Diceros bicornis minor: one gene and its partners. The protein of the gene in region 1 interacts with the protein of each later gene in a pairwise test. Links are inferred from orthologs where the notes say so. Each region holds a gene or a part of one and is shown on either strand. Other genes may lie near its edges. The genes, in order: TRIM39, EIF4A2, CCNC and PLCD4.

Evidence for each region.
Region 2: the proteins of TRIM39 (region 1) and EIF4A2 interact in binary tests that used the Homo sapiens proteins (3 or more experiments, as listed by UniProt). The two-hybrid records come from large-scale screens. The link is inferred for Diceros bicornis minor from reciprocal best matches to the Homo sapiens genes TRIM39 and EIF4A2.
Region 3: the proteins of TRIM39 (region 1) and CCNC interact in binary tests that used the Homo sapiens proteins (3 or more experiments, as listed by UniProt). The two-hybrid records come from large-scale screens. The link is inferred for Diceros bicornis minor from reciprocal best matches to the Homo sapiens genes TRIM39 and CCNC.
Region 4: the proteins of TRIM39 (region 1) and PLCD4 interact in a two-hybrid assay, tested with the Homo sapiens proteins (2 studies listed by BioGRID and IntAct). The two-hybrid records come from large-scale screens. The link is inferred for Diceros bicornis minor from reciprocal best matches to the Homo sapiens genes TRIM39 and PLCD4.

What each region holds. Positions count from the first base shown.
Region 1 is NC_080753.1:34,653,823-34,661,916, reverse strand, and holds the start of TRIM39 (E3 ubiquitin-protein ligase TRIM39), read left to right. Parts: upstream 1-5,040; 5' UTR 5,041-5,697; intron 5,698-7,092; 5' UTR 7,093-7,099; coding exon 7,100-7,552; intron 7,553-8,094.
Region 2 is NC_080754.1:37,266,110-37,273,626, forward strand, and holds the start of EIF4A2 (eukaryotic initiation factor 4A-II), read right to left. Parts: upstream 3,031-7,517; 5' UTR 2,869-3,030; coding exon 2,761-2,868; intron 2,675-2,760; coding exon 2,542-2,674; intron 2,434-2,541; exon of another isoform or gene 2,365-2,433; intron 2,264-2,364; coding exon 2,124-2,263; intron 1,328-2,123; coding exon 1,159-1,327; intron 1,045-1,158; coding exon 935-1,044; intron 888-934; exon of another isoform or gene 763-887; intron 694-762; coding exon 550-693; intron 507-549; exon of another isoform or gene 329-506; intron 235-328; coding exon 97-234; intron 44-96; exon of another isoform or gene 1-43. UniProt on the Homo sapiens protein: ATP-dependent RNA helicase which is a subunit of the eIF4F complex involved in cap recognition and is required for mRNA binding to ribosome.
Region 3 is NC_080762.1:34,328,043-34,335,331, forward strand, and holds the start of CCNC (cyclin-C), read left to right. Parts: upstream 1-4,211; 5' UTR 4,212-4,289; coding exon 4,290-4,342; intron 4,343-7,289. UniProt on the Homo sapiens protein: Component of the Mediator complex, a coactivator involved in regulated gene transcription of nearly all RNA polymerase II-dependent genes.
Region 4 is NC_080776.1:8,971,989-8,979,849, reverse strand, and holds the start of PLCD4 (1-phosphatidylinositol 4,5-bisphosphate phosphodiesterase delta-4), read right to left. Parts: upstream 3,030-7,861; coding exon 2,895-3,029; intron 934-2,894; coding exon 654-933; intron 1-653. UniProt on the Homo sapiens protein: Hydrolyzes the phosphatidylinositol 4,5-bisphosphate (PIP2) to generate 2 second messenger molecules diacylglycerol (DAG) and inositol 1,4,5-trisphosphate (IP3).

The DNA of each region.
Region 1 (8,094 bases):
ATGGTGGGGCTTCTGTGAACTGATAAAACCTCTCTGGGAAGTGGTGTGGAATTATCTACTAAAGTTGAACATATATTTAACCAGTGGTCTAGCAATTTCACTACTAGAATTATTCACAACTGTGAGCACACACATGTAAATACACACATGAACACTCACAGCAGCCAAAAATTGGCAAAGTCCAGAGTCCATCAACAACAGGATGAATCAATTATGGCAGGTTCATAAAATGGAATACTGCACACCAGTGAAAACAAATGAACTACAGCTACACGCAACAACAGGTGAATAAAAGACGTAACATTAGCAAAAGAAACCTGACATACAAAGGCATTCAATATGCGACTCTTTTTACATTAACATAGAAAAACAGGCAAAACTAAACTACATAGTATCTAGGGACACATACTTAGGTGGTGGTGAAGCTATAAAGAAAAGCATGGACAAAAATACCGTAGAGGTCAGGGCGGCTGTATGAGAGGGAGGGGGTAATGATGAAGAGGTGGCACAGGGGAGGGGGATTTCTGAATGGCTGGCAATGTTCTATTTCTTGAGCTGGATGGTGGTTCCATGGTGATTTTTCACAGAAATATCACTGTGCCACATTTTTTAGCTTTACGACTTTTCTGAATGTGTCAATTTCACAATTTAAAAAGGTATATCTGTATCTGTGTACCTACCTACCTATCTAGTTTTAAAGTAATTAGGGGAAACAATTATTCTTCATTCTCATGGTTTCCTTGAGATTTCCCCCCAATCACTCCCCCCTCCCTGACCCCTGGCCTTTTGAGGACTGATGTAACCAGCAGTTTTTAGAGCAGAGCTGAGCATGCCTGGCCCAGCTCCTTGCCCTTTTCGTCTCAAATCTTAACACAGAGGGGATGATTTCTCATCTGCTCCCAGCCATATGGAAACTTAGCTGGCAAGTTCTGATGGCGGGGGAGGGGGCAGCCTCAAGTGTTGGGTGGCAAGCTCAAATCAAGGGAGAGTAAGCAAATCAACTAGCTATTTCTGAGCTATTCCCTCCAATTAGTTTCATAAAGCTAATAAAGGTGGTATTTTAGTCTCTGTCTGACTCTTGTATCTCTCTTGTTCTGAAACTGGTAGGGAGAAAAGAAAATGTTATTTATTGTGCCCCTAAAATCACAAGAACAAATAAATGATCTTTTTCCCTAGCACAAGAGATAAGTTCACTATTTTCCTTTCTTTACCACTGACAACCAGGGAGTAACCTCCTACATATGGTAGAAGTCAACTTTTAATTAAAAAGCAACAAAACATGTAATGAGGACCTATACTATTTATATTTGGAATCATAAATGATACTACTAAGATTACTTTTTTTAAAGTTAGTGACTTACAATCTTAATGAGTTAATTAAAAACTTACATAGGTCAGGGGGTAGAGGGAAGCAAAAGAACAATTCAGAATATAACAAGGTACTAAAATCCCATGCTCAAAGGCAATCTATAATGGCAGAAGTTCCAGAATGAGAGAGGCCAGAAAATCCACACAATCAATAGCAGTGTAACGCTGGGCAGGAAAGCCAAAGGCCTTGCTAGCTGAGACTTGGTCTGCTTTCCTTGGTAAAGCTGTAACACCCACCAGTAAATTTTTTAAATATGAAACTTTCAGCAGTGGCTCCACAGGCTATCTTGTAATATGCTGATGTGGGTATAAATAGGTACACTCTTATGGGAAGGAAACTGGAGGTCTCCATTCAAATTTTAAATTTTCATGCCTTTTGACCCAGCAGCCCAACTTCCAGGAATTTGTCCTACTAATACACGGCATGACAATCTAAAAATATATGTGCAAATATATCAAATTATTATGTTGTACATCTAAAATTAATACAGTTATATGTCAATTATATCTCAATAAAACTGGGGAAAAAAGATACATGTCCAAGAATGTTCACTACAGCCTTTATTTAATAAGACTTGGAAAGAACCCAAATACTCGTAATAAAATGGTTGAATAAATTATATATCTTCACAATGAAGTAATAATACAGACTTGAAAAAGAGTGAGGTAGCTCTATGTTACTGAACTGGGAAGATAAAAGCCAGTATAAAGTATAATAAGCAAATTGAAGACTGCTTCTATATGTTTGAAATGTTTCATAATGAAAAAAAATGGTGAGAGAAAATTAGATGTTTTGCCTTTTCTTAAGAATCTCGGAAGTCTGGACAGTTGAACCCTCTCCCTACCCATCCTACCATATTTGACCTCAACCAATTTTCCACCTGCACTGCTAATATATCTATTTCCTCTATATGACTCAGTGGTTTCAAGATATCTTTTATTCTCCTTTCCAGATACAAAAACAATATTAAAAATATATATTAAAAAAATTTCTTAATTACCCTGTATCTCATTACTGTAATTCATTTTTGTACACTCCTGTGTTGGAAATCTCTTGGTATAAATCAACATTACAACTCAGCGTTATTCCACCTCTCTGGAACTACAATCCTTTTTAATTTTAAACGAAGAATACACTTCCTTGTTCAAAGAATGTACTTCTACCCTAGTACATAAATCTCAGTCCACAAAGTTTCACAGGTCATAATAAATTTGTGTTAAGAGCTCAGATTTCCTTTATTATTATTTTGTGTTATTATATAGACAGATGGAAATAAGAGATCATATCATTGTGTTCACTCTCTTTCCCAATTGTTCTCTCTTGGAAAATACCATGTACCTCATTATTGTTCTATGTCAGAGGTCAGCAAACTATGGTCTGCTACCTGTGTTTGTATGGCCCGCAAGCTAGGAATGGTTTTTACATTTTTAAATGATTGGGGGTAAAATCAAAATAATAATATTTCATGACGTGAAGAATTTATATGAAATTCAAATTTCAGTGTCCATAAATAAAGTTTTATTGGAATACAGCAACGCTCACTCATTTAGTATTGTCAAACGCTGTTTTCACACTACAAAGAGTGTGGGCTACAAAGCTGAAAATATGTCCTATCTGGCTCTTTCCAGATAGGTTTGCCAATCCCTGTTCTATGTCATACTACATGTCCTTCATAATTTTATAGTTTTACCTAGACATTTTCCCCCCTCTCCTTCCATATTCAGCATAAAATCTTAATAACCTATTAGTCTCCAGGCAAACACATTCTTCATAATCCTTGGAAATGCACTTCCTCCTGGGAATTTCCTTAGTCTAACCACATCCCTGCTCACCTACAGAAAGCCAGAATGGAGGGCTAGTAACACCTTAAAAATTACAAATGAACAGATCAAAACCAGAACCAAACCTCACAAACACCACTCTCCCTCTAAAGCAAGGCTAAAGAGGCTGACCGCCCAGTTAGTGGCCTTCAAACTACCCTACCTTAGAACTGAGGCATTGTGTGAACTAGGACAAGTACTGCTGCAAAAATGCCTAATGGCCAAAAAGCAATGAGGGGGAAAAAGTTAATAAATGTAGTTTTCTCAAGTTTAATCCTCTTTAAATCATGGACTCCGGAAAAACGTGAACGAAAAACAAAGGAACAGTAAAGAACAAGTAGACAAACTGTATTTAGATGTGTAATCCTAAATATTTATACCTTGCACATTTGATATTTTCTGCAAGTAAATAGTTTCTGGCTCCCAGAATGAGAGGTTAAATACTCCACAGTGTTCGTAAACAGCATCACAACTTAAAAACATGTTGGGCCATTGGGCCATTTCCTCTCGGAGGGTACACCAAAATCTGTTCATCTCTTTCAGCCGACATTCTGCACGCCAAGTGTAGGGGCAGAGAGGGCAGGGCAAGCTGCCTTTCCTACTAGTAGCGTCATACACTCTCCTCCTCAGCCCCATCACACCTCCACCCAGCACTAGCTCCTCCCCAGCCCCATCACACCTCCACCCAGCACTAGCTCCTCCCCAGCCCCATCACACCTCCACCCAGCACTAGCTCCTCCCCAGCTCCATCATCTCTACTCAGCACCTCCTCCCCAGGCTCATCACACCTCTCTCAGCGACTTTCCCAGCCTCATCACCTCACCCTCTTCCTCCAACGTCACAGGGCTGCGAAGCTTCCAGCAGCAGGAGAGGAAAGCAGCGAGGCTATAATGCAAAAGTCTGGAGTCCTCACACAAGCACCATCTGCTCTTGTGCAGAAACTCAAGTCACAGTCCCAAAAGTGGAAAGAACAGGCCTTGGCCCGCATGCAGTTAACGGGTGTTTGCCGCGCCCTTCCTGCGGTCGGGCCCCGACCCAGGAGCTGAGCATACAAAGGTGAACAGCGGAGTCGCAGTACCAGCTCTCTCCGGCCTCCCACGCTGGCGGGGAAGGCAGATAATTTCAACAAAGGCCGCCACGCAGGGGTAGGGCGAGGAGTACTTGAAGCCCACAGTAGAGAAAACTCACCTAGTCCTTGAATGTTAAAAGGCTAAAAACTCAACTAATCGGAAGTGACGTGCCAGCCGAGACCGCAGGTCCGCCAATTACGTAATTGGCCGCCGCCTCCACTCGCCACCTTCCCCCTGGACGGGCCGCAGAGAGGAGAAGTGTAGCTCAAAGTCCGCGACCCGCCCTTGCCCCGCCCCCGGCGGCTCCCAGCCCCACCCGGGACCAGACGGGCCTGGCCAGAGCCCAGGCCCGCAGCCTGCACGGGACAGCCTCGCCGGTCCCGGAGCCCGTCGGCGCCCTGCGGGCAATGGGCTTCAGCGCTCAACCTCGCGCATGCGCGGCCCTCTTTCCCCGGAGGATTCCTCGGGTCACCTGGACGACCGCATTTCAGCCACCTGCCCCTCCGGGTCCCTTCTCGCCCCCGACTCCTCCTGCTGGTTCTCACCTCCGGCCCCCCGCCTTCTCCTTCCTCCACAGGCACCACTAACCCCTCCCGTGGCCGCCCGGCAACACACCGGCTTCCACTGACACGAGCCTCTCGGCGCGGTTTCCGCTTCCGGCGAGTATTGTGTGTCGCGCTGCGGGGCGGGGGCGGGGGGAGGAGGAAGGAGGGAGGCAGCGCTCCGGCGGCTCCGCGCCCCGCACTCCCGGACCCGAAGCCGGGAAGGTAGGTGCTGTCCCGCCGCCGCGCCGGGCCCTGGGGCCTGCCCCCGCCGGCCGGCTCCGCACGCCGCGTCCCAGCGCCCCGCGACTGCGTCACCAGCCCCCGGCACGTAACCACAGCTGCCTCCGCCCGCCTCGGGCCCGGGCGGACGTTTTGCCGCCCCGGCGACGTCAGCGCGTCCGGCGTTGCTTGGCTACCCCGCCGTTCCCCCGTCCCGCTGCGGCTCGCCGCCCCGGGTGAAACGCTGACGCCGTCACCGCGGGTCTCGGCTGCGTCATAGCGGCGGGCATCCCACCTTCACGTCACACCTACTCCTCACCTGGACACGCACCCCTCCCTCCTCTCCAATCCCCCTGCGCCAGATCTGGCGGGAGAAGATGGAGACCGGGGTGGGACCGAGTTGCGGACCACGCTCAGGAGAGGGTCGCAAAGTGGGACCCCGGACAGTGCTAGAAACAAAATGAGGACGTCCCTGAAGTTTGCCCTTCTACTGAGACACGAGGAATAGAGGGAAAGAAATGACCAACCCAGAGCCACCTGAGGCCTCGCTATGGCTGTAGCTCCAAGCCCTCTCCATACTTCCCTAACCTTTTCCCCATTTCTCTTTCACACCACTTCTTTGCCAGTCCAGATCCATCCTGGTCCCTAACTGCATACAGTTCAACTCACTCCAGGTGAGGAGGCCACCTAATTTCTAGAAGATTGGGGAAGGGGCAGGGTCACTAGTCAAAGTTGGATTTCCATAGGTAGAGAAAAATCGAACTGAACTCCTCTCCTGGTTGAGGGAAGAAATTCAGATCCAAATAAGTTATTAACTCCTACTCCAAATTAAACACTTTTCATGTGTGCCATCAATATATACAGCAATAATCATTGTTAACCCAACTTATCACGTGGCCACTTATCTATCAGCACATAGACCTACTAAATTTCCTTCTTTTGAGTCTCTTGGGAGGGAGGAGGAGGGAGGGTGGACAGGAGGGGTTATGGGGATAGAGAAATCAACTATTTCATGGATAAAAGAGGTGACATTTTAAGGATAGAGGACCAGTCTTCTGCTTTATAAATCTGTTTGGTCCATTTCCAGTTCTTGAGGCTTCACTTGAGGGAGGTTTTGTTGCCTCTTTTCTTTCTTTTAATTCCCAGCCACTCTAGAACCTATTAGTTGGAGGCACAGTATGTCCAAGGACTTAGTTATCAATAGCTATTTCAAAAGACTCCAATCACTGCTGAATATTTAGAACAGACTTGTCAGCCTTCTTTTCAAGAAGTTGTTGGCCTGGGCTCAGTAATATACTCTTTACTATAGTTGCCATGAATTTACCACTTTTCAGCAGTTGCAAGTGTCCAAATGCACACAAATAGAAATGGGATGTTGTGTGAATCATTTCATTCCAAGAAGAGAGTACACTTCCTCTAGGCTAGTCTGATGAAAGGAAGAATTTCAAACTTTCCTGAAAAGAAGAGGTTGTTACCCTTGCCTAACTCATGCCATTTATCGCCTTTTGAAAGAGTAAGAGACCAGTGGCAGAGAATCAAGCTTACCCTCCCATGGACTATTGTAATAAAACTCTTTATAACATTAAACTTTAAAATATAGTTAATTTAAGAAATCTTAATTAATACTTTGACTTCTATGGCTCTTTTCACTTTCCCAAACTCCTTTCTAACATATTAGAAAAATATGTTAAACTACAGATACATTAGTCTAGAACTGTTGGTTCTAAGATGTAAGTGTATCAGCCTGGATCAGGAGAAATACACTGGGTTGAAGGAAGCCTCTGTTTCTAACAAAAGAAAGCAGAGGTAAAAGACAGAAGAAATTGGGGGTTGCGTGTCAGTTTGGTGAAGAAGGAAAAAAATTAGATTGATGGCTGGGAGTCACAAGTTTTGGAAATGGAGAAACAAAAGACGGGTTGAATTTAGTGGAAGAGAAGATGTAAAGCACCAAGATGGCGCTACATCTGGAGTTAGGATATAACATGGGGGTAAATGTCAGGCTAAGGATGCAGAAAAATTAAATCTCCAACTAATATTTTTCTTTTATCTGCCCCCTTCCTATTCCCAAGTTAAATAATGGCAGAGACAAGTCTGTTAGAGGCTGGGGCCTCTGCAGCCTCCACAGCTGCAGCTCTGGAGAACTTACAGGTAGAGGCGAGTTGTTCCGTGTGTCTGGAGTATCTGAAGGAGCCCGTCATCATTGAGTGTGGGCACAACTTCTGCAAAGCTTGCATCACCCGCTGGTGGGAGGACCTAGAGAGGGACTTCCCTTGTCCTGTCTGTCGAAAGACATCTCGCTACCGCAGTCTCCGGCCTAATCGACAACTAGGCAGTATGGTAGAAATTGCCAAGCAGCTCCAGGCTGTCAAGCGGAAGATCCGGGATGAGAGCCTCTGCCCCCAGCACCATGAAGCCCTCAGCCTCTTCTGCTATGAGGACCAGGAGGCTGTATGTTTGATATGTGCAATTTCCCACACCCACCGGGCCCACACCGTCGTGCCACTGGACGATGCCACACAGGAGTACAAGGTGGGGAACCAGGCGCATGATGCCAACAAGAGGGAAGAGGGAGGAGCACAGAGGATAGGAGACTCCCTGGGTAGAGGATCAGATGCTCCTGAGGGCAAGATGGTATCTGATCCTCATTCTGTAGTCCCCTTAGAGCTACATATACAGTGAGCACATAGTACACCTGATCGGTTATCCTCAAGCATGAAGAAGAGCAGTGGTGAGGAGTACCGCAAAATTTCTCTCTGACTTTTGTAACACCTTTGAGTATATGTGGTCTTGGAATGTATCATGTCTTTCATAAATGAATGAAACCACATGGAAAAAATCAAACTTAGGAAGAACTGAGAAGTAGTCTGGTTTCTTCATTCTCTCCCCCTGCTCAGAATGTCCCTTTTTTTCCCATTGGTATTGGGAATAGGCACCATAACTTTAGCCTGATCCCCACCAGACTAAACTGAACCAGTCTGTAGTTTGCATCTTCCCCAGATAATGGATAACATGGCATCTGGTTTAACTTACTGCTGGGACGCAGGGTAAATGTTTGAGTAATTTGAACTAGA
Region 2 (7,517 bases), on another chromosome or scaffold:
CAACACAGCACTTAACAGCTATATTGTAGTCTGAATCCTGCTTTAACGAAAATACAAACAGCATTATTAACATTACTAAGTTAGAACACCTCTTACCAGAGCAGAAACTGTGAAGTCCCTGGCATGCATTTTCTCAGTGAGCCAGTCCACCTTGCGCCTTGTATTGAGAAAAATAACAGCCTGCGTAATCGTCAGTGTCTCATACAAGTCACAAAGTGTATCCAACTTCCATTCCTACAAGATTTCATATAGAAATTCAGCAGTCACTAAAATAATTTAGTTTCCAACTTACATTCATTAGAAATTCATCTATTAAGTTAATCTAAGGACATATTGCACCAAATCTTAAGACAAAGGACACTGGACATTAAGAAAGAGGTCCACCCCAGTCTTTACAATCCAGTGCAGTTACTTTTCTTCTTGTGTATACTCTGCTAGCATTATTACAAAAACCAAGATGTGATCCTAGTTTCTGCAATTTTAGCACAGTGCTTATACAAGAAGGATAAAAAAAAAATCTGGCTAACATTTTTATGTTAATTAAATTACCTCTCTTTCAACATTAATATAAAATTGTTTGATTCCTTCAAGGGTCAATTCTTCCTTTTTCACCAGAATTCTAATTGGATCTCTCATGAACTTTTTGGTCACTTCCAACACATCAGTTGGCATTGTGGCAGAAAGCAACACAACCTAAAAAAGACAATGATTATCTGTCAAACAAGTAATTATCATAATATTCAATTTCACAATACTCAAAAAATGTTTGAGACCAAGCGTCTGTCTTACTATGGAATTGTGCTAGACAGAGACAGTTATGCATCAATTGCTTTAAGCAGGGGGAACGACAATAAAACACTTCAGTTGTATTGTAACAGTACCTGCATTAATTACACCTGACCTCCGCTATAGGAGGGAGTGAAATAAAGCTCACCTGAATACTTGTATTTAATTTTTGGAAAATCTCATAAATTTGATCCTTAAACCCTCGGCTCAACATTTCATCAGCTTCATCCAAAACAAACATTTTGATCCATTTTGGAGCTGTTAAAAACAAAGTCATACTATCATCTCTCGATTCTCAGGAATAACATTGGAAATTTTTAATTTTAGCAATAGTAAAAACAAACTACACTCTCAACAGACAGCAATACTTACAAAGGTATCTTCTGTTTAACATATCAAACACTCTCCCTGGTGTACCAACAACGATATGTGGTGCTTCAGCCTGCAGTTTTTGCATTTCATTTCGAACATTGGTTCCACCAATGCAGGCATGACAAGTTGCTCCCATATAGTCTCCAAGTGCCAGAATTACCTTTTGGATCTAAAAAGCCAAAAGCCTTAATTATCATCCAACAGAATTACAAGCTCTGTGACTAATCTTCCAAAGCATAATGGCAAATATCTAGTCTGCAAACAGCTTTTATGCATGCACAGCACTCAACTACTTCCAAGCTTAAAATGCAGACTGATCCAACTGCCTCAAGATAAAATTCCCTTTACATGTCTTTTCTTGTGCCTTGTCAAACTTGGGATCCTGCTGCCCCAGATACCACCGAGGTTAAAGAACGAAAAACATTTCCTACATTTTCTCTTCATTGTGTAGGAAGATGCAAATAGCAAACAAGCTCTGCAATTACAGCTAGGACAAGCTGTTGATACTTTCAATTTTTCCCACAAGGTACTGTGACTTACATAACCTTGATCTTAAAGGAAAAAAGCGCCTAATTTTATTAGCAAGGTTTACTTCAAAGCCAATATAGCAGTGAGCTTTGAAAACACAGCATGCAACAGATGCATCACAAACTACTGAGACAGTCAAATGATAACATGTCACTGCAGTTTTCATGTTGCACAACTGCATTCAAACTCAAAAATGGGAACAGATCTAGTCCACCCTGGATAGCAAGCTTCCATTTCTCAACATTACACAACGCTGAAAAACATACCTGCACACCCAGTTCCTGCTGAACTTTCAATAAAAACTCCCTGCATGCATGGGTAGTTAAAAGGAGGACTCTGACAGGACCAATTTATACTAAGTTGTAAATTCTTCACAGTTGTGAAACCTGAAACCTATGCAACACGCAAGCAGTTTTTTTGAACTACACTATCAATACCTGTTGAGCCAGTTCTCTGGTGGGGGCCAATACTAGTGCTTGGGTCTCCTTGAACTCAATCTCCAACTGTTGCAGGATGGAAATAGCAAATGTGGCTGTCTTGCCAGTACCTGACTGAGCTTGAGCAATCACATCATACCCTAAAAAAAGTAGGATACATATTTACCGATCCCACATCAAACCGTCACTTCTAGTTCACACCATGTATTCCATTTGGAACATGAATTATGCCCAAATAATCAAGTGATCAGCAATGAGTATTCTCTTCATTTCAGGTCAGTCCCGAAAGATGATTGCCATCATTTCACTTAAAGGAATACAAACAGGTGCTAGTCCCCCAGAAGTTATCTCCCCTTTTATGGTCCAGGTCTATGTAGGACACTGAATTCATTTTTTAAAAAGTACCGAGTTCTTTTACCTTTAATACAAGGAATAATAGCTCGCTGCTGAATAGCTGAGGGCTTCTCAAAACCATAAGCATAGATGCCCCGAAGAAGAGACTCCTTTAAATTCATATCATCAAAGTTATCAACAATCTCATTCCAGTTGCTCTGCAAATTTAGAAGAAAAAAAAATTAATGAATGAGACGAACCAACTCACCTTTACAGAATTTCAAAATCCACCCACATCTCTTACCTCGATGACACCATCGGGGTCCATTCCCTCTGGGCCGCCATGTTCTCTGCTGACAAGAATAGTTCCGTTAGAGCACATCCCTGTCCCAAGCCAACTTAAACGGCACATCAGGGGGACAGCGCTTTCAGCACCTGTCACATCAAGTTAGCCTCCCCCGCACGTGTGCACTTCCTGAAAGAGCAAAGGAAGCTGGCGGTGCAGGGCACGTAACGTACCGGGCCTGCCCAGAGATTGAGCACCAGGGACGGCCAGAAAGGCCCCACGGACACCGGCCCTTCCCCCCAGGCCCGAGCGCCCGGCGCTCCCGTCTCGGCGGCGGCCCGTCTCGCGAGAGCTCCACGAGCTGAGCTCCGCCCCCTACACTGCGCAAGTCGGGTGATTGACGCGGGCCGAGGCCTGGCGAGGGCTATGCCAACGGTCCGCCAGGGCTCCGTCGCGGCGCGGCCCCATCCGCCTTCTGCAGTGGCGAGTAGGCGCCGCTGTCACCTTCCCCCGCCCCGCCTCAAGTCTAGGACCTCAACTCGCGCTGCTGGCCGCCCTTAAACCCTCGGCCCCGGTTACACTGCACCGAATGCGGGCTGCGCCACGCCTTTAACTAAACGTCGTGCTCCGCACGGGCAGGGAAACTGCAGAGACTTCAAAGCATCTTCAGGAGGAAAAATGATACCTTTAACCACTCCGTTTCCGTAGACTCGTTTCGTCTCCCCGCAATCCAGGCCCCTACCCACCGTGGAAGCTTCTCGAAGGACACAGGGGTATTGTACCCCAAGAAAACGCCTATGAACCCAAAGTTCCCTGCCTCCAAGCCATCTACTACAGTCTCCTCTGCAGCCGTATGACCCTCACCACAAAACACTACCGAAAAATAGCCATACCTGTTATAATCCGCGGAGCCACCAGACATGATCCGGAGAACCACTCAGCGCCCGACTGAAAAGACAGCAGGACCTCGCCGCCCGTTTTTTATAGGCTCGCGGCCGGAACCCGTTTTCTGCGGAGGAATTGACTCGTCGCCCTTCGGTCAGCCACAAAATTGTGACCCTGAGGTCCTTACCTCAGAAAATACCCCAAGCCTGTCGGTGGGAAAATCCAAATTTGGTTATTTCGCAATATTACAGGGTCGCTGGAAATCCCAGGACCCTGCGGGAAGTTTGGGACTCTTTGCATTGCGGCGGAAGAATATTGCAGCGGGCTGAAGCCCAGCCCCCGTTCCCCGCCCGCCGTGCTCCTACGGGGTTTCCGCGTCCCCGACGCAGAGGCGGCGCGGGGAGCCGAGCGGGACCGGGAGGCGGAAGGAAGCTTGAGGCGCGCTGGACGGCCGGACTTCCCAGCGGGCAAGTGGGACCGGTCTCGCTGTTCGCACCGGCGCTGGATGCCGCAGAGGCAGGCACGTCCGCATTCTGCACGGAGGGGAATCGCGTTATTCCGCTTGTTCCCGCCGCTGGTTAACGTGATGATAAAGAGCCGCCTGGCCTTTAGCCCGCGGGCTTAACATGCATTAAGGTCTTGAAAGTGTGCAACTCCTGCTCGGGGAAATGCCGGCCACCCAGCACGTCCCAGAAAATCTGGTTTACCAGACATTGTGCAGGGCGAGAAAAAATGTGTAGTGTCGTGTGGAAAGATCTCTGGAGTGGCCAACTCTATTCTCCTCATGTTGCCTCTGGTCTTGCTTTTTTAAAAAATGCTAATAATTTTAACAGGTGTAAGGAATGCCTGATAAAATCATTGTAAACTTTTGCAAATGGATAATACTAAGGAGGAGTAATTTTCCTTGTAACACAAGGTTTTAAATGGATGCTTCTGGCAGATACAGCTCCTTGCCGCTTTGGGACCCATCTAGTCTATATTACTCTTTTTTTCTGGTCTATATTACTTATTTTTTTTCAAAGCACTTTGAGTTTTAATTGCCTATATATAATGAATGCTGATTTATCGAAATTGAGAATACAACCCTTGCTGCTTAAATAAACTGCATGATTCTTTAAGCCCCAGATGTTTTCAACTGTAGCCCTAACCCAGGCCCATTGATAAAAACAAAACAATATTTTTAGTCATTAAACTTTAAAATACAATACTACCCACGCTGCAAGATATCATCACAAATACTCAGAAAAACATCTTATTAATTCAGAAGACCAACCTAAAGTCTGATAACTGGAAAAACTAACTTAATTTTCTATATTTGTATATTATATTTGATATGATATTTGGTTCTAAATACCACATATATTTTTTTCAAAATACCATTTATTTATTTGAAAATTATTATCGTGCCAGGAACTGTCACAAAAACTAATACCAAGAGATAGAGTGGACTTGGCTGTCAGTGATGCTGCTCCTTATCCCCCTGTAATGTTCAAATCCATATTTGAGGTAATACCAGACATTTCGGAGAATGGCAGTTAGGGATCTTGATTGTCTCGTCCAAAACCTACTAAAACTCTCCTGGGAATCTGAGAAACTGGAGAAAATATTAAATCAGAAAAGTGACCAACCATTTAGTCTCACTTGAGTCCTTAGGGTGAAATCAATCAACAATTAACACCTAATTGTTGAGTGTTTTCTTTAGGTTTAGCACTACTGCTACATGCTGTGAGGATTTCCAGAGTTTCTTAAGAGGAAATAATCAAGGGCTAAACTCTGGTTTATGTCACAATTGCTGAAGGGGTTTCAAGGTAAGAAAGCTTCATAGCCTAAAATCCAGTCAAAATCCAGACCCACATTGCCTGCAACTCTACAATGTATTTCTAATAAACGCTGTGCTTACCATGTTGCATACACTTACTAAATACCATTAATAAGTAATAAATGAGTTAAAGATCCAAAACATTCATATTAACAAAGTTTTGCATATCGACAGACACAGAGCATACACTTATGGTTAATATAAACTTTTCTACTTACCTGACATCTAAAATTAGATAGCCTTCTCAAAGTCAAGTATAAGTGCTTCTTTGCCAACCTGGAGCAAGTGAGGCCTAAAATTTATACTGCAAATGATGCTAAAAATCAGATTCTTTCCTTATGTGAGCCACCTAGTCTAGTTTTTTTTTTTCTTTAAATGAGGAAGATTAGCCCTGAGCTGACATCTGTTACCAATCCTCCTCTTTTTCCTGAGGAAGATTGGCCCTGAGGTAACATCCGTACCCATCTTCCTCTACCTTATGTGCGGGACGCCTGCCACAGCATGGCTTGATGAGTGGTCCATAGGTCTGTGCCCGGGGTCTGAACCCACAAACCCTAGGCCTCCAAAGTGGCGTATGTGAACTCAACTACTACACCACCGGGCCAGCCCCACATATTTAGTTTTGATCTTCAATAGCCTCAGCTGACAATTCTAAACCCATCTAGCAACTGTAAGCCAAGGTTCGCCAGAAGAATCAAGGAATTAGTACAAATTTGTTAGTATGACATGGAAAAACAATAACAAAACCTTGAGTATGCTTTATGCTGCTAGTGACATCTTCCTATGGAAAGTACCATGTATTCTCATTCAGGGGGTATTGTGTGCCATCTTGAGGTTCTTACATTATTTTAAGTCCATGAGTTGATATTAAGTGATAGCTACCCATTTAAAGCAGTATCTTGATAAGCTATTGATATGCAAAAGTTTGTGAAGGTATGTGTTTTGGATCTTTAACTCATTTATTACTTATTAATGTCATTTAGTCAATAATGTCAATAATAATAAATTATTAGTAGTAATACCATAGTAAAAACACAGTATAATATATGCTGTCCCTTCATTTATAATTTAAATGTTTAAAAAGAATTACTTTGAGCTGGATAGAGACTGTAGTGCTACTCACTTCTTTATTATTCGGTTGCTAGAGGAAATTAGAGGCTAGATTCTGCTTGAATATAAGCAGTGTTCTCCAAAGCAATTAGGAAAGTGGCACTCACAGCCACATTTTTCACAATGACTTTTAAAACCATTTGTATGAAGATAAGTAAAGACGTTAATAGCGTTGAAGTAAATGGAGAAAATTGAGGAGGACTGTGGAAGGGACTGTTGAACTATATAAGGACTGGGTTTAAATCCATTAATCCAAGGTTATTAAACTCTATTGTGGAACCAAGATATGGAAGTTTTTCTAGCTCCACCCTTGTGAAGAGTAAAGTAAGTGTACATTATTGTACTTCAAATCAGTACATCTAAAACTGTGGTATGCATAAAAATCAATGGGGAGATCTATTTGAAATGCAGATACATGTGAACTCAGCCCTCCCATTCAGATTCAGTAGATCTCATCTGAGGTGGGGCCAGCTTTTATTTTGCAGAATTCTAGACCTGAAAAGAAGTTCCAAGAATAAAGTAATGAATACCAAATGTTTGTCACGCTTACCAATTGTTAACAGTTTACTGCATTTGCTCTCTCTCATATTTATCTGTGACTTTTTCTGAACTTTCTGAAAGTTACGGACATAGTAGTGACCACTCCTAATCAGCACTACATCCTAAAAACAAAGATGTTCTCCTTTACTAAAACCACAAAAATATTATACCCTGCAAATGTACTATCGATACAATAATATCTACAAAACTATGTTCAACGTTTCTCAGGTGACCCAATAATGTTTTTATAGCCTTTTAAAAAAAGAATCTAGGATCCAATCAAGGATCGCACATCATATTTAGTGGTCCTGTCTCTTTAGTTTCTTTTAATCTGGAACAGTACCCCTGAAGCCGGGTACCTGAGGGTTACTGTAAATATTGAATAAGATTACCTTGTTATGAAAAGAAGTTAATCTTGTCA
Region 3 (7,289 bases), on another chromosome or scaffold:
GTCCAGGGTAGAACACAGCATGAGTTAACCGGCACATTGTAAATCAACCTATTTGATTATTGTTCCCTGTGGAGTACAAATGCATTAAAGTGTCAAGGGCTAGTGTTAAGAGAGAGTGTACACTTACCTAGTGTATCAAGGTAGCACTATTATCCTAATCTCTCAAAACAGCTCTTTATAGTCCAGATTGTAGGATCTAAACTTGTTTTAAATAATAAAAGCTGCGAGTAAAAAAAAAAAGTAAAAGCAAAGAGTTATTGAGCTCTTACCATGTACCAGGCACTATTCTAATTTCATTTAAGATTTATTTAAACCTCACCAGAACTCTATGATTTAGGAAGTATGATAATTGCTGTTTTACAGATGAAGAAACTGAGGTTTAGAGTGACTAAGGAGTTTGACCAAGGTTACTGCTATAGACTGAATGTATGTGACCCCCATTCATCTGTTGAAGCCCTAATCTCCAATGTGATGGAATTCGGAGGCAGGGCTTTTTGGAGTTAATTAGGTTTAGATGAAGTCACAAGGGTGGGGCCCCCATGATGGGATTAGTGTCCTTATTCTCTTTCTCTGCCTTGTGAGGACTCAGCAAGAAGGTGGCCATCTGCAAGCCAGGAAGACGGTTCTCACCAGGAACCAAAACTGTTAGCACCTTGATCTTGGACTTCCCAGCCTCCAGAATGTGAGAAATAAATGTCTGTTATATAAGCCATCCAGTCTATGATATCCTGTTATAGCAGCATGAGCTGACTAAGACAGTTACACAACTGTAAGTGGTAGATCTATCACTTGAACCCGATCAGTATGGTTCAGAGACTGAGTTCTTAACTAGTACGCTTTATTGTAAGTTAGAGGTTTAGCCATCTTCAACAAGTACAGGTATCCAAGAATTAAAATAAAAGGAGGCACAGTGAATGACTAGATAGAGAAAAGGACATTTTCACAATAAAGACTATTAGTACCAAAGCAAATTACAATCACAATTTAATTAAAAGTGAGAAGATAGTCCCCAATAATAGTGTTTGGGAGGAGAAACTTCAACTACAAGCCTGGAATAATGTGTTTACAGTAGTTTAGTCATTACAGTTTTATTGAAACTGGGTTGGGTGAAAAGTTGGGTGAAAAGCTCATTGCAGGGGGAATCAGAAGAACTGGATTCTAGCTATTCTTGCCACTAAGTAGCTAAGTAAGCCTGATAAAGCCGCTAAACTTCTAGGCTCTAGTTTCTGAGAAATAGTATTCATGCTGCTGGAGAAAGCATTGTAAGAAAAAAATACTTTTTTGTCACAGAAGAATCAACGTTAGCATCAATAATTTACTGATCACATCCCTATTTGAAAATCACAAGGTAAAGGAAGAATTAGACGAGACAAGACTGATTGATTTCAGTAAATTTAAATTCTGTGAGTAGTGAGGACTGAGAAATAATACTCCTAAAATTATAAGGAAAAGTTTAACAAACTATCAGCAAAAAGAAGCAAATCTACATGGCTCATCATCTTTTGCATCCAGGTAAGCTGGGATATGTAGGCATTTTAACAGCTTTTGTAAATTGCTCGGTCCCCCCAGAGATATCCTTAAATGAAGTTCATTTTGGTTCAAGTCAATTCAATTCAACCTACATTGATCAAGTACCCTCAAAGATGATTTACCCTGAAACTAATGAAGCATAAGCTCAGGACCCTGACTTGCATGGCCACTGGGAGCACTGGGAGCTGCTGAGTATTTGGATTTCTAGGTGGGGAGCAGAAACCAGGTTGCAGACAGGAAGCATTTCTACGAAGCATTTCTGGTAAATTGCCTAAAAGAGTTCACAGAAGGAAGGGACCTAAATCTTCAAGGCTCCAGTAATTTGTTGTGATTTCTTTTCGCATTCTAAATACTCAATTTTCAACCTAATTTTGTGTCCATAGTGTTATAGTCTTTTTCTTTAAGCACCCCTCCCACCACAATTATATAAGAGTCAGGTTCAAATACCATATCTGCTGTGCCTAACATGTGTTATGCCCTGAACTAATGGAGATACAAAGATGAAGGGGCTCACAGTTTTATGGGAAGAAGAGTACAGAATAGATATAAAACAGAATGCTAGTCTAGTGGTAGAAACAAAGCAAAGTAAGAGGAGCAAATAGAACAAAACATTTAACAATACTACTTTGTCGAACTGTGCTTATCTTCTGGATGGTGTCAGGCTGACAACCTGGGAGTTGAAGAAATTCTGAACCTCTGTTAAGTAGCTTATGGCCTGATGTTCCTAAGCTACTGTCCTGCAAACTTTTTTTGACTGGGATCTGCAACATAACAGACAATAGTGTTTGTCAAATATACCACATGCTTCCTACATCTCTCAGCCTCTCTTGCAGTTAGATTAGAGGCATGAGCCTATTTTGGTCAACAGGTCCTGAGAGGAAGTGATTGTGTTGTTCTCTGGTTCAAGTCTCTTAACATTGATTAAGAGCCAGTGAGAGTCCTCTGCACTCTCTCTAGAAGGGTTTTAAGCCTGGAGGCAAAAAACCAAAATGGAGTAGTTGAAAGATGGAAACATACTAGATGCTTGAAGATGTGGAGGATAACCACCAGGGAGAGCAAACTAGTCTACATCAGACTTTATGGGACTTGATGGGAGTGACATGTGACATAATATATTTTTACGTTAAGCTACTGACATGCATTTCACATTTTGATTTAGTACATATATACATAGGTAACTAAATCAAAATTTTAAAATAATTCTCTTGCTTTTTCTGACATACCTGATATTTTGTTTTATTTCATTTGGGAAAATACTTATCATACTCAATTTCACCACACCCTAAGTGGTCTCCACCCACAGTGAGAAAAATACTGTCTTAAGGTACCTTGGAACACGGATCTTCCATGAACAACTTTCAAGTGTGTCCAATTATTTTGAAAAATAATTAGAACTTTTACAATAAATGCGATGTCACAATGATAATAGAAATGGGAAATACAGATTAGTTCATCTTGCAAAATTAAATTATTTCATTTTGTCTGTATGTTTTTATTTGGTACATCTATGTGAATATACATGTGTGTACATATTTACATATACATATATATGTAATAGAGGAAAACGTTTTTAGCTGTTCTGCAAAACTGGCGGTTCTCTAGATTTAAAAGAAAACACTGCTGCTCTACAAGTTTGCGCTTCACTCCAAAAGAATTCCGTTAACAACGTATTCGGCTTGCTGCTGGTAGGTTTCGGTAGGTCCTTTTTTTTTTGTGAGATCAGCCCTGTGCTAACCTCTGCCAATCCTGCTCTTTTTGCTGAGGAAGACTGGCCCTGTGCTAACATCCGTGCCCATCTTCCTCCACTTTATATGGGACACCGCCCCAGCATGGCCTGGCAAGCGGTGCGTTCGTGCGCGTCTGGGATCCGAACCAGCGAACCCCAGGCAGCCGCAGTGGAGCGCACACACTTAACCGCTTGCGCCACCCTGCCGGCCCCTCGGTAGGTCCTTGAGGCCAAAATAATCTTTATTTTTCTTTCCAATTGCAGGAGAAAGAATTAAAGTCAGAAAATCTTATACTTTAATACAATGTCATAGTACTGCTGTGGAGGCCTATAAGACGAAACACCACCACCCCGAACAGCGCTACTTCCCCCATTTCATCCGTACTCCGGTCAACGGTCAACGTGCGCTGCCCACAGACGACCGAGCCCGGACGGCTCTAGGGCAGGATCGGCGCGAAACTCTCGCGAGAGCCTCCCGATCGCAGCGAGCCTTCGGGAGCACCAGTTCTCGTCTCCCAGCTCAGTGCGCGCGCAAGCTATCTCCTCCCCGCCGGCTTCCTCCGCTACCGCGGGAGGAGGAGAGGGCGGAACTTTTATCCATAGGAACGGATTTATGCAGTAGTGTTGCCGGCCGGCGTCAAGGCGAATACGGTGCCATCCTCTTCCTCTACCGTCGCCGCCGCGGAGCGGAGCCGAGCAGATCAGATTGAGGAGCGCGGTTACCGGGCGGGCTGGGTCTATGGTCGCTCCGCGGGCCACTCCGCCGGCTGGTGCTTTTTTATCAGGGCAGGCTGTGTCCCATGGCAGGGAACTTTTGGCAGAGCTCCCATTAGTAAGTGTGGCCTTCCGTCTTCTCGCCCGGGGCCGGCTCTTTCGGGGGCGCTGAGGACGGGCCTGCGACTCGGCTTGGCCTGGATCCCGGCCCCTGTCCCGACGCCGCGGGGTCTCTCGGGAGGCGGCGGCGGCCGGAAGCGGGATGCGCTCTTCTCTGGCGATTCCCCTCTCCCAGCCCCCTGGCCGGGTTTAGGGGGGAATGATCTGTGAGCGGGAAGCGGGGGGAGAGGGTTCAGTCTCCGAGGAAGGAAGGTTCGCGAGTTTAACTTCGGGTTCTCGGATTAGCTAGGCCTGGGGTGGGGGGGATGGGGTGGGGACAGGTATGGGAAGTGTGACACAGTCAGGACTGAGGCTGGCTCTTGTGGTTCGCTTTGGCCTGGGATCTCTTCAGGGGATCGGCATCGTCGTCCTTTGTCATTCCTCCTCTGTCTTGAGTGGATTTGATGTTATTCCGGGGAGAAGGGGGAGCCAGGCTTGTTCTCCCACTAACCGCTTTCTGCCACTACTTTATGCCTCGATGGAGTTTTAGGTTGGTAAGGTCTAGGGCAGGTGCTCTCAGAGTTTATCCATTTTGTTAGTCTGTGCCATATGTTTTATTTTGCAGTGACTTTGCCGATTTCTTTAACCTTTTTCATGAATAAGATATTGTTTCTGTCTAGCTCTTCCAGGAAGAGCTAGAGTAATATGAAAAACACTTGCCCCCTAAATGTATTTGTTTAATTAGGCAGGAAGATGGGTGATGGGACTAGTTGAACTTTGACCAGGCTTTCCTCTGTGCAGTTGAAAGGTGAACAAAATCTGAAGATGATACCTTAGTGTAAATAATTTTTAATGATAAGAGCATTAGTAACTGTAACTTAAATTTTGATTCTGTGAAGAAGACGGATTTCTGTTATTCTTTTTTTTTTAGCCCTTTGCACGAAAAAAAAACAGTGGGCTTGGAAACCTATTTTTAGAAAAGCAAGTTTTCCTTTTGCTCTAAAGCGATTCTGTGGAGAGGAAATGCTCTAGAAGCTTTACTTCTGATCATATTTTTATTTTACACTGTTTTCACTCACTGAAATATTTGCTTGGGCAAAATTAAAATACAGAAAATTTAGGTGATGGAGAAGAGAGATGCTGATAAACTTTGAAAGAAGCTGAGAGAATTAACAGGTAGCTAGCTGTTGGTTGTCAGAAGTTATAGCGGTATTCAACTTTCTAAAAAAAAATCCTGCCTCCCTTTTGATAAGTGTTTTCATTAGGCTTTCATTTACTGTTGGCATAATGAGAACACTTATCACAAGGGGGGCAGGATCTATTTTATAAAAGCAATTATTTTTTCACTTTTCAAATATAAAATTATTATAATATTAAATGTGGTTTTTTGAAACTGTCCTTGCCTCCCAATTCAAATAGTCCTGGAGGAAGGGGCCACTTTGCCCTACTCAGATCCCTTGCGAATCATGGAGCCCATGATCTGCAAAAGGTAACGAGTATGAAAGACAAGACAGTCAATTCTGGAAAAGCAAACAAACAAAAAGATTGTGAAAGCCATTGTTTTAGGTGATTTTGGTGAAAAGGGAAAATTGACTTGAAATATGCTGTATTTCATGGCTCCAAGTTGCACATTTTAACATTTCTGAAATCAGCATGGCAATTTTTTTTCTTAGTAACACATAAATAATGATGAATCTTAGAATTACAAGTCGTATTGGTTTTACCTTCCATACTATGTGAAATTTATATTTTTAAAAACATAAAATGACTGTAGAGATGAAATTAGTAATAATTCTGAAACAGAGTGAATCACAATATTTTCCACAAAGTTGAAGTAGAACACAGCACATTCTTTCACCAAGATGCAGTAAAACTAGAAGGGTGCTAAATACTTGCTGGTTGACTGAATGAATTAACAAACAGGTAACAAAGATAAAAACTACAAAACCAACTCTGGATACTTTATTGTATCAAAGAGGTAACTGAAAATACAGTTACATAATATCTAGGAACTAACATAATAAGATCAATATATATCCGTATCTATGGGATTATAGCTGGCGCCAAATTTAAGAAAATTAACATAACTGAGAAATCAACATAATTGAAAATTTAACTGAATAACTAAGAAAGAATAAAAATAAAACAAATATTCTACTTAAGAATATTGAAAAGGAAACAGTGAAATAAACCTAAGAAAAACAGAAAAAAAGACTTAATAAAGGTAACACTGATAGTAATGTATTAAAAGGAAAAAAAATTGTCAGAAGTTATAAAGAGCTGGTTCTTTGGAAGAGAAAACCAAAACAAGATGAAACTACTGCTAGCTGAATCAAGGTGAAAAGGAATGATACAAAAATACAAAGTTAGAGGGCCAGCCCGGTGGTGCAAGCGGTTGGGTGCTCGAGCTCTGCTGTGGCGGCCTTCGCCGGTTCGGATCCCGGGTGCGTACCAGCGTACCACTTGTTAAGCTATGCTGTGGCCGCGTCCCACATAAAGTAGAGGAAGATGGGCACGGATGTTAGCCCAGGGCCAGTCTTCCTGAGCAAAAAACAGGAGGATTGGCATCAGATGTTAGCTCAGGGCTGGTCTTCCTCACAAAAAAAAACAAAATTAGGAATGAGAAAAGTAAATAAACCCAGATGTACCTTTGGGTTGTTTCCATGGTAGTAAATTTGAAAGCCAAAACAACTTAAGAAAGTTACCAGAGGGATACTACTTAAAAAATGCTCTAGGCCCACATTATTTCAAGGATAAATTTTTTCTCAGTTTTCAGGCGAATCTGCTGTTGACATTGTTCCAGGTCACAGAGAAAGAAAGCTTTCCAGTTCTCTTTATGGTGCCATGATAACGCTGATAAAATCTAGCAAAGGTAGCACTAAAAACAGTCTCACTTTTGAATATTGATGCAAACATAAAATATTACCAAATGGAGTCCAGCGTTACATTAAAAGTATAAAAAAATGACAGTGATTTTATTGTAGAAGTATAGTCAATATTGGGAAATCTGTTAATAAACAGTGAAGGCACCAAGAAGACATGTAATAAAATTCAACATCTATTGACTAGAGCTTTTACTAAAACGTAAATAGGATGCTTTTGTAATGTGATAAAAACATACCAAAGCATTAAGAGATATTTGATGGTGAAACATTAGGAAACTTATGGTGCCTCTTGAACATTGTTCTGACTGTGCTACTCAGTGCAATTGATAGGAGAA
Region 4 (7,861 bases), on another chromosome or scaffold:
GGTGGTATGGATCGTGAGCTTCGATTATGTCTCTAAAGTAGACTCTCTTAGATGTGTCCCATGATCATATGTTTAGAGGGACCATAAAGTGTTTGGCCAATAGGAAGCACAGCGTTATGATGCAAGTATGATATTTTAAAATATTCCTCATTATGGCTCACATTTATTAAACGCATCCTGGTTTCAGGTCCCAGGCTAGATGCTTTATACATGAACTTATTGAGTTTCTGTAACCTACTAGGCAGGTACTGTTGAATCCCCATTTTACAGATGAGGAGACTGAAGCTTAGTTTAAGTATCTTGTCCAAAGCCACTCAGCTAGAAAGTGGCAAGCCAGGGCTTTCATCCAGGCAGTCTGATGCCTGAGATCATGCTCTTGTTAGAATAAGAATAACAAGACACAACCTATGAGTTACTGGGCCTTATTATATGCCAGGACTCTTCTAAGCCCTTTACGTGCAATAACTAATTTAATCGTCATAACGGCCTTTAGAGGCAAGTTCCATTATAATTTCCACTGTACAGGCTCAGACATAGACACAAGTGGGACAGCACAAGGGCACACTGTAGGACCCCCCCCTGCTCTCAGGCTGTGGGGCTCCTCAGGGTCCTATGCACCCACGTGCCCACCCATAGCTATGCACATCACTCACAGCTCGGCTTGGCACTGCCTCCGGCCTGTCGGGAATGCCAGACTGTCATGCCGTCATCCTGAAGTCTGAAGTATCTCAGTTTCTTCCAGCTTTTGGACCGCACCTTGCGCATTGGTGTGCCTTTCTGCATCAGCAGCAGGTCTTGATTGATGGGCAGCCCTGGGCCAGGAGAAGCGGGGGCTGGATAGCTGGTGGGGAGGGTGGAGGGCCCAGGAGGAGCTCGGGAACAGGGGTCCAGCCTCCTCCCTGTCCCTGGGCTGTCTCCCCAAGCCCTCTTCTCCTGCAGGGGTACTCACGGCCTTGCAGCAGGGACGCCATCACCCACTGCTCCACCAGCTGGTGCTAGAGTCACCTAAAGGAGCAAGGAGGAGCAAAAGGCTCATCTCACCGGTCTTAGAATCACAGATCAAGGGAGGAAGAGAAGGAAACCAGTGTTTCCTGACTGCTCGCAATGTGTCAGCCCTTCACCTACAGAGTCTGTAGCTCTTTGTACTTCTGAGTTTGGTGGCTCTGAGGCTTAGAGAGGCTAAGAAATCTGCCTCAAGTCACATAGGGATTCAGAATTTACAGCCAAGTATGTCTGATTCCAGAGCATTTGCTGTTTCCCACAGCCATCTCCAGAGAGGGCTAAAGCAGGGTTTTCTGCCAAATACTCCCTCCTTCCCAATACCCCCAAATCCCTTAGGTAACCCCGTGCCACACTTCTCAGCTCCCGTTATTAGGAACCACCATCTTGCTGGCTGCCCCCTTTCAGAACCTGGAATCTCTCTACATCTAGCCTTCTCTTCTCCAGGTGGAATCATCCCTTCCCTATTCTGGGAGCCCTCTCCATGCTAGGGCTCCTGAAGGGCTAGGGCAGAGCGTTTCTTTTGTCTCTTCTATAACAAATAAGCCATCTTCTTCTACCCTCACATGGTAAAGCATATTTTATACTCTTTTTCATAACAGTTATTCTCACAATTTTAATGGACCAGATAAATTACATAGTTTCAGAACTGCATTTTCAAGTTTTTTCTCTACCTATTAAAAAGCGTTCCTCCTTCAAGATATATGCTAATTTAGGACCTGGTTAAGTTGTCCTAGTAGATAACAACAAACTTGCCTTGAAAAGAACTAGAAGGTGTGATACGTGGCCACTTTGATTCTAGCTCTGCCCCTATAAGAAATACTCAACTCTTGACCAAATCCTTCTGAAACTGGCAAAGCTTATGAAACAGAAAACTCTAGGCTTTTGTATAAGCAAAGGGTCTAGACTTGAATTGCAATGTTGTGTTTTTTAATTGACAAGTTTAAAATTTTGACAATGGTGAACATCTAAAACACCAAAAGAATGTCTAAAGCAATCATTCAGTTAGCGCTCCATGAAAACATCATGCAGTTTAACTCCCTATAGTTTACAAGTGAAAAAGCAGAAGTCAGAAATGTGATCTGACTTATCTGGGGTCACACAGCGTATTACTGCCCTGTCTCTCTCTAGTGGGAAGAGCCTATAAAGCCACCCAGGGGTGACTAAGTCTTTAGGAAGAATGTGGAAGTCACTGAGAATGCGGCTTCCCTGACTGCAGGACCTAGAGCCCAAGACTTTCTAAAGGAGTAGCAATGCGCAGGTGCACAGAGGGACAGGGGAAGGTTGGGAATCAGCCTGTACCTAAGTGGGAAAGATAACTCAAGGCAGCTCTCAGGAGAGACAGAATCCTGAACAATTCCAAGAAGAAAAGGTTTTGCTGGCTGAGGCTGAATATGTGAGCCTGGGTGAGACCAGAAGAAGCCTCTGGATGGAAGAAGGGACCCAGAGTGCTTCCTGGGAGACAGAACAGCATTTCTGCCTTTCTGGGTGGAGATGCACAGTTTGGAATCTGAAGCTTGCAAAAGCTATGAAGACGGAAGTAGAAAGTAACAGGTCCCTCTTAAATGCCTCAGGTCCTCAGGCTCTGGGTGGGGGTGGGGTCAGTGTGGGAATGAAGTCCAATCCCCTTGCCAACATCCTGCCTTGTCTTCTCTCTGAACTTCAGCTCCCCAGTCTGGGGCACAGGGACTCTGGGATGGGATGGGCCTTGGTCCTGGGAGAAGACAGAATTACCTTCTCTCATGCCTGTGTCCAGGAGCCTCACAATGATGTCCTGAAACCTGGGAAGCCTGAGAACAGAGCCCAAGTGCCAGGACACCCCTATTTTGGAGCCTACCTCCTCTCAAACCAGCCTTAGAAAATTATTTTATCCTCTTTTGTCAAACTCTTCCAACCCCAGGGCTTGGCGTGTTCTTCCAGTCCTGCTTCCGTTCCTGAAGCACGATCTTAAACCTGTATCCAGGGATGTGTGGCCATAAGAGGGCCAATTTCAACTCAGGGAGCCACAGAAAGTCACAGCTGGCCTTCATGTTATAGAGAAGGGGACAGAGGAGTAGAAAGATTAGCTGAACTGCCGGAGTCACCTAATGAATTAAGTGGCAGAACTGAGACTAGAACCAAGGTCTCTATATGACCAGCTTGGAGATCTCACCAAGACTCTGCCCTTAGAAAGGGCTTTCTCTAGGAAGCAGGTTCAAGCAGAGCTAAGAATCAGCAAGGGACATGGATGTTTGGTCCTCTCTCCTCCATCATTTCTGTTCCCACCAAATCCCACTCAATAGCCTTTCCTTTCTTTCTTCCTATTTTCTTTCCTTTCCCCATCCTCTGCCTGACCCTCCCTTTTCCTTTCTCCCCAGCTCACTCTTCTCTCTCTTGATTCCTCTCACTGCCTCCCTATTTGCTCACTTAAGTCAGCCTCTCTTTGCTCTCCTCTTCTCATCCTTCTTCTCATCCCTTCTCCCCATCACCTCTTCCTCTCATTTCTCCTCCAGTTCCCAATAGCTCTGGTTCTCGTCCTCTGTGAGGATTTGAGACTGTGGTCCAGGAAGGAGGACACTTGGGCTCAGACACTCAGTAGCACATTCCTCTGCTCAGCCTCACTTTCCTCTGTATCCTAGGAGACTGACCAAACAAACTGCCCAGAGAATGGCACTTAGAACCTAGGTGTTCTAGGTCTTGGTGTTTCCTCTGGTGTCTGAAGGTAGGATGGGAAGGATGGTCACAGCTGATGCAAGTGAAGTTAGGAGAGGAGGGACAAAGGATTTGGGAGTGGGAGCAAGAGCAAGGGGCAAAGAGCAGAGGACGAAGACTGGGAGTAAGAAAGATTGGGTCTTAACTGTCCACTCCCAGACACGTATGTGGAGATCCCTGAGGATACGGAAAACTACCTCTATAATACAGATAAGAAAACAGAGACACAAGTAAGGTGGCAAGTGGCCAGGGCTGCGGAGCAAGATTTGTTCCTCAACTTCCAGGTGGCTTATGTCACCTAGAGATGGACTTCAGCAGAGTTGCCAGTGGTGCCAGTGGCATTACAGGGGAATTCAGGGTGTCTCAGGCCTCTCTGAGGGGCAGGAAGGAAGAAAATCATTTTGTCTGCTCTCTTGCTTCTGAGCAGGATTGTTCCTGACCTACTTCACATAAGGAGGACAGAATGGCTCTGGTCATATGTCATAGGTCATAGCCCTCAGAACGTTAGAGCTTGAAGACTCTTTTATAACATATCTAATCCGGAGGTTCCTGGCTATATCAATATTCCCTGGAGAGTATCTTAAAATAGAGATTCCTTAGCCCCACTCATAATCGACCAGATCAGCATTTCCAAGGATGGGGCGCAGGAATATTTATCTTTCACAAGCACCCCCGACACACAGGCAAGTCTGGGAAACCCTGAACTCCCTCCTGTTACAGATCTGGAAGTTGTGGTCCAACTAGCTAGAGCATGGCTACTCCTATTCTCTCTCTTCCCTTACTAGGGTGGGGTAGCTAAGAGGTCCCCATATACAGAGGTGACTGACACAGCAAGGGGAAAACCGTAAGTCAAAGAGGATAACCTAGAGAGAACCAGGAAGGTGGAGCCTTTTAGACCTGTTCAGGCAAAGGAGTCCAGGGTACAATTTAAGCAGAGTAGATAGCATGTGGAGGGCAGAGCTTGGAGCAGAGGCTGGTCAGAGCCTCCAGGCCCTTACCGTGGGCAGGGTAGCAGTCCTGCGTCTGTGAGCTCCGCGATGCTCTCCACTGTGGGACGAGGAAACCCAGCCAGGCTCCTTTTCTCTTTTGCTCCTCTCGTACTCCTTTGCTTCCTTCCCTCTTCTACTGCAGCTTGCTGCTGTCACTAGCAGTTACAGCCAGAGGGAACGAGTAGGGTGGGGAGAGGTGTGAGCTCTTAAAGGCCCAGGACACTGGTCAGTGGGGTGGAGAGAAAAGGATTAAGGGGAGGGATTGATGGGCACCACGTCTCCAGGGAGGAGGAGCCTGGCTGCCCTTCACCTGGATGCCAGCCCTCACTGACCCCAATCCCACAGCAGCTCTCAAAATGAAACTCAAGGAGTGTCTGAGTTGCAGTGTTCCATGAATCACTGCTTTTCATTCTGGTCCGTTTCTCTCTGCATGTTATTTGGCTGTCTTTGCCCTTATTTCATCTGGCTCCTTTCCAGGGTGTCTGTTTCCATCAGCCTGCTTCTGTGTCTCCGCATCCTGCCTTGCAGGGCACTCAGTCTAGTTCTGTGGCACAGGGAAAGGAAAACAGAAATAGGATGGGAACGGAGGCAGATGAGAAGAAAGCGTGGAGAGGAATGATCTTGGAGTGTAGAGGGACAGGTTAGTATCTATGCACTCGCTAGATTTAGCACTCGCTAAATATTGAAGGAAGGCATACGTGAATGTATGAAACAATATACTTATCCTTCCTTTACATTCATTGGTTCTACGAGCATTTGTTCAGCCCCTCAATATGCAAGGACATATCTGCGTGTTCGTAAAGGAGTGTGTAGAGATGAACAGACTCATAATATGTAAGAATCGAGGGCAGAAGAGGAGCACAAGACTGGAAAGACACCCAACTGGGGAAGGGAACGTCAGGAGCTTCTTACAGGGTGAATAAATGGGCAGATGAAACAAACCTAGACTGAGGAAAGAGGACCAAGTTGGGAGAGGAATAGGAGATTGTAAAGGGCTTTATTTTGGCCCCTTGCTTCACAGTGAGAAACTGAGGCCCAGGGCAATGTCCTGGATGCCTGTGTCAGCAGCAGGGACAACCAGTCCCTTGTACTCCCCTAAGCACTGTGAGCTGGGACCTGCTTTTGCTCTACCTGGGGGAAGACTGCAGGGTATGGCTCTTTCTGGACCAGAGGGTGACGGTAAGTGAGGGCATAGGGCACAGCCCTGTACTTGGACCTCTGTGGGATCCTTTCTAGTGAGGTGTATCTGAATCACAGGCACAGAGGGAAGTAACTGTATGAAAGGACGTGGTTTTGCCGTGGCCCCCCCACAACACCCCTCAACTGCCTAAGATTCTGCCATTAGTGATTATTTATAGCTAAACCTTTAGTCCCATTAAAATAAAATCCTCCTAAGTGATTACCATAAATGTCAGGATAGTGGTTAGTTTGGGGAGGAGGGAGGGGTTGTGATGGGATGGGGCACAAGGCTGGCTTCTGGAATAGCTGGCCAGTTCTGTTTCTGGTCCTGGGCGCTAACAAGGGTCTTCCCTTTATAATAACTTATTAAACTATACATTTTCTTTATGTAGTTTTCTATATCTGTTATATTTTACAAGAAAAGGGTTTCAAGTTTTTGTAACTGGTAATTTCTGAAGCCTTATTGGTCTTTCATAATTTATTCCTAGGTTGAGTTTACCATACTCTACTGGGAGCAGGTTTTTTTTTTTTTTTTTTTGAGGAAGATCAGCCCTGAGCTAACATCCACGCCAATCCTCCTCTTTTTGCTGAGGAAGAGTGGTTGTGGGCTAACATCCATGCCCATGTTCCTCCACTTTATATAGGACACCGCCACAGCATGGTCTGACAAGCGGTGTGTCGGTGCGCACCTGGGATCCGAACCCGGGTAGCCAGCAGTGGAGCGCACACACTTAACTGCTACACCATGGGGCCGGCCCCTGAGAGCAGGTTTTGATAAAGGAAGAGGAGTATGCGGGGAGTGGAGGCAGAAAAGAGAGGCCCTTCCTGGGGAACAGAAAGATTAGGGGGCACCAAGATTTAAACTGTGTGGATTTCAGATTTACTTAATGGAGGCTCTGTTTCACACGCTCATCTTGCTCTCCCATTTCTACTTCCCCAACACCTCACGTCCTTATTTTTCCATGCTTCCCCTTCTCATTCCTCACTCCTCTTCTACACTCCAGGACTACACACAGTTTGCCTCTTTCTGAGTCACCATTTGCTCCCCTAATTGCTGCCCAACCTCCTTCCCTTCTGGGTGTTCTGTGAGAGGTATTCTCTCTCATCCTGGATTTTCTGCGAGCCCAGATCTCAAGTATTCTGTTTCAGTATTCTCATAAGCACACTAGTTCTCCCCAGATCTTGTGTTCTGATTTTGGGACAGGCCATTGGAGACTTTCGAAAGGTTAGAGTGGCTCCAAAGTGTGGCTTAGAAGACACGCCCGCTGAAGGATGCTGTTTACATCCAGGAAGGGAGCAGACACACAGGCCCTGGGCACAGGAACTGTCCATCTGGTTTAGTTGTTCCTATTTCCATAATGATCCTAGCCCTTCCCCCACTGTTGTCTATTATTAACAGATCCAGAAACCTGATCGGGGCAGCGGCAGCAGCAGAGGGACTTTCTGGGAACCATGCCCAGAAAAGGCCTAGAAGCCCTAAATTGAAATGAAGGGGCAGCTGGCAAAGAGGCAGACCTAAACACTGTACTCTCATGCTGCCACACAGGCCAGCCTAGACCCTCCTCCTGACACCCAGCGGAGGTGTTCTAAACGTCTCTGCTTCTCAGGCTGGGGATTCAGAGACCTGTTCCCTAGCCCATCCAACCAAACTACTCAAACTGAAATAAAGCCCATCTTCTTGGTGGACAAAAAGGCAACTCAAAATATTAAATTCCATCTAAAAAATAATTCATATGAGACCATCTGTAGAATTAAAAGCCAGGATATATAACTTCAAAAGACCAGAGAAAATATAGCCACTCCACCATTCCAGGAAATTTAAAAAACTAACAAAAAACCAAGGGGAGGGAGAAGGACGAGGTATAAAATAAACCAGAGAACGCAAGGATAAAAGTTAAGATAAAAAAACACTAACGGTGTAATATTCCATAGTAAGAGACAAAACTTTCAGAAACGGTCCTAAAACAAAATGCAAGTACGTGCTATTTATCAGTCATGTCTGC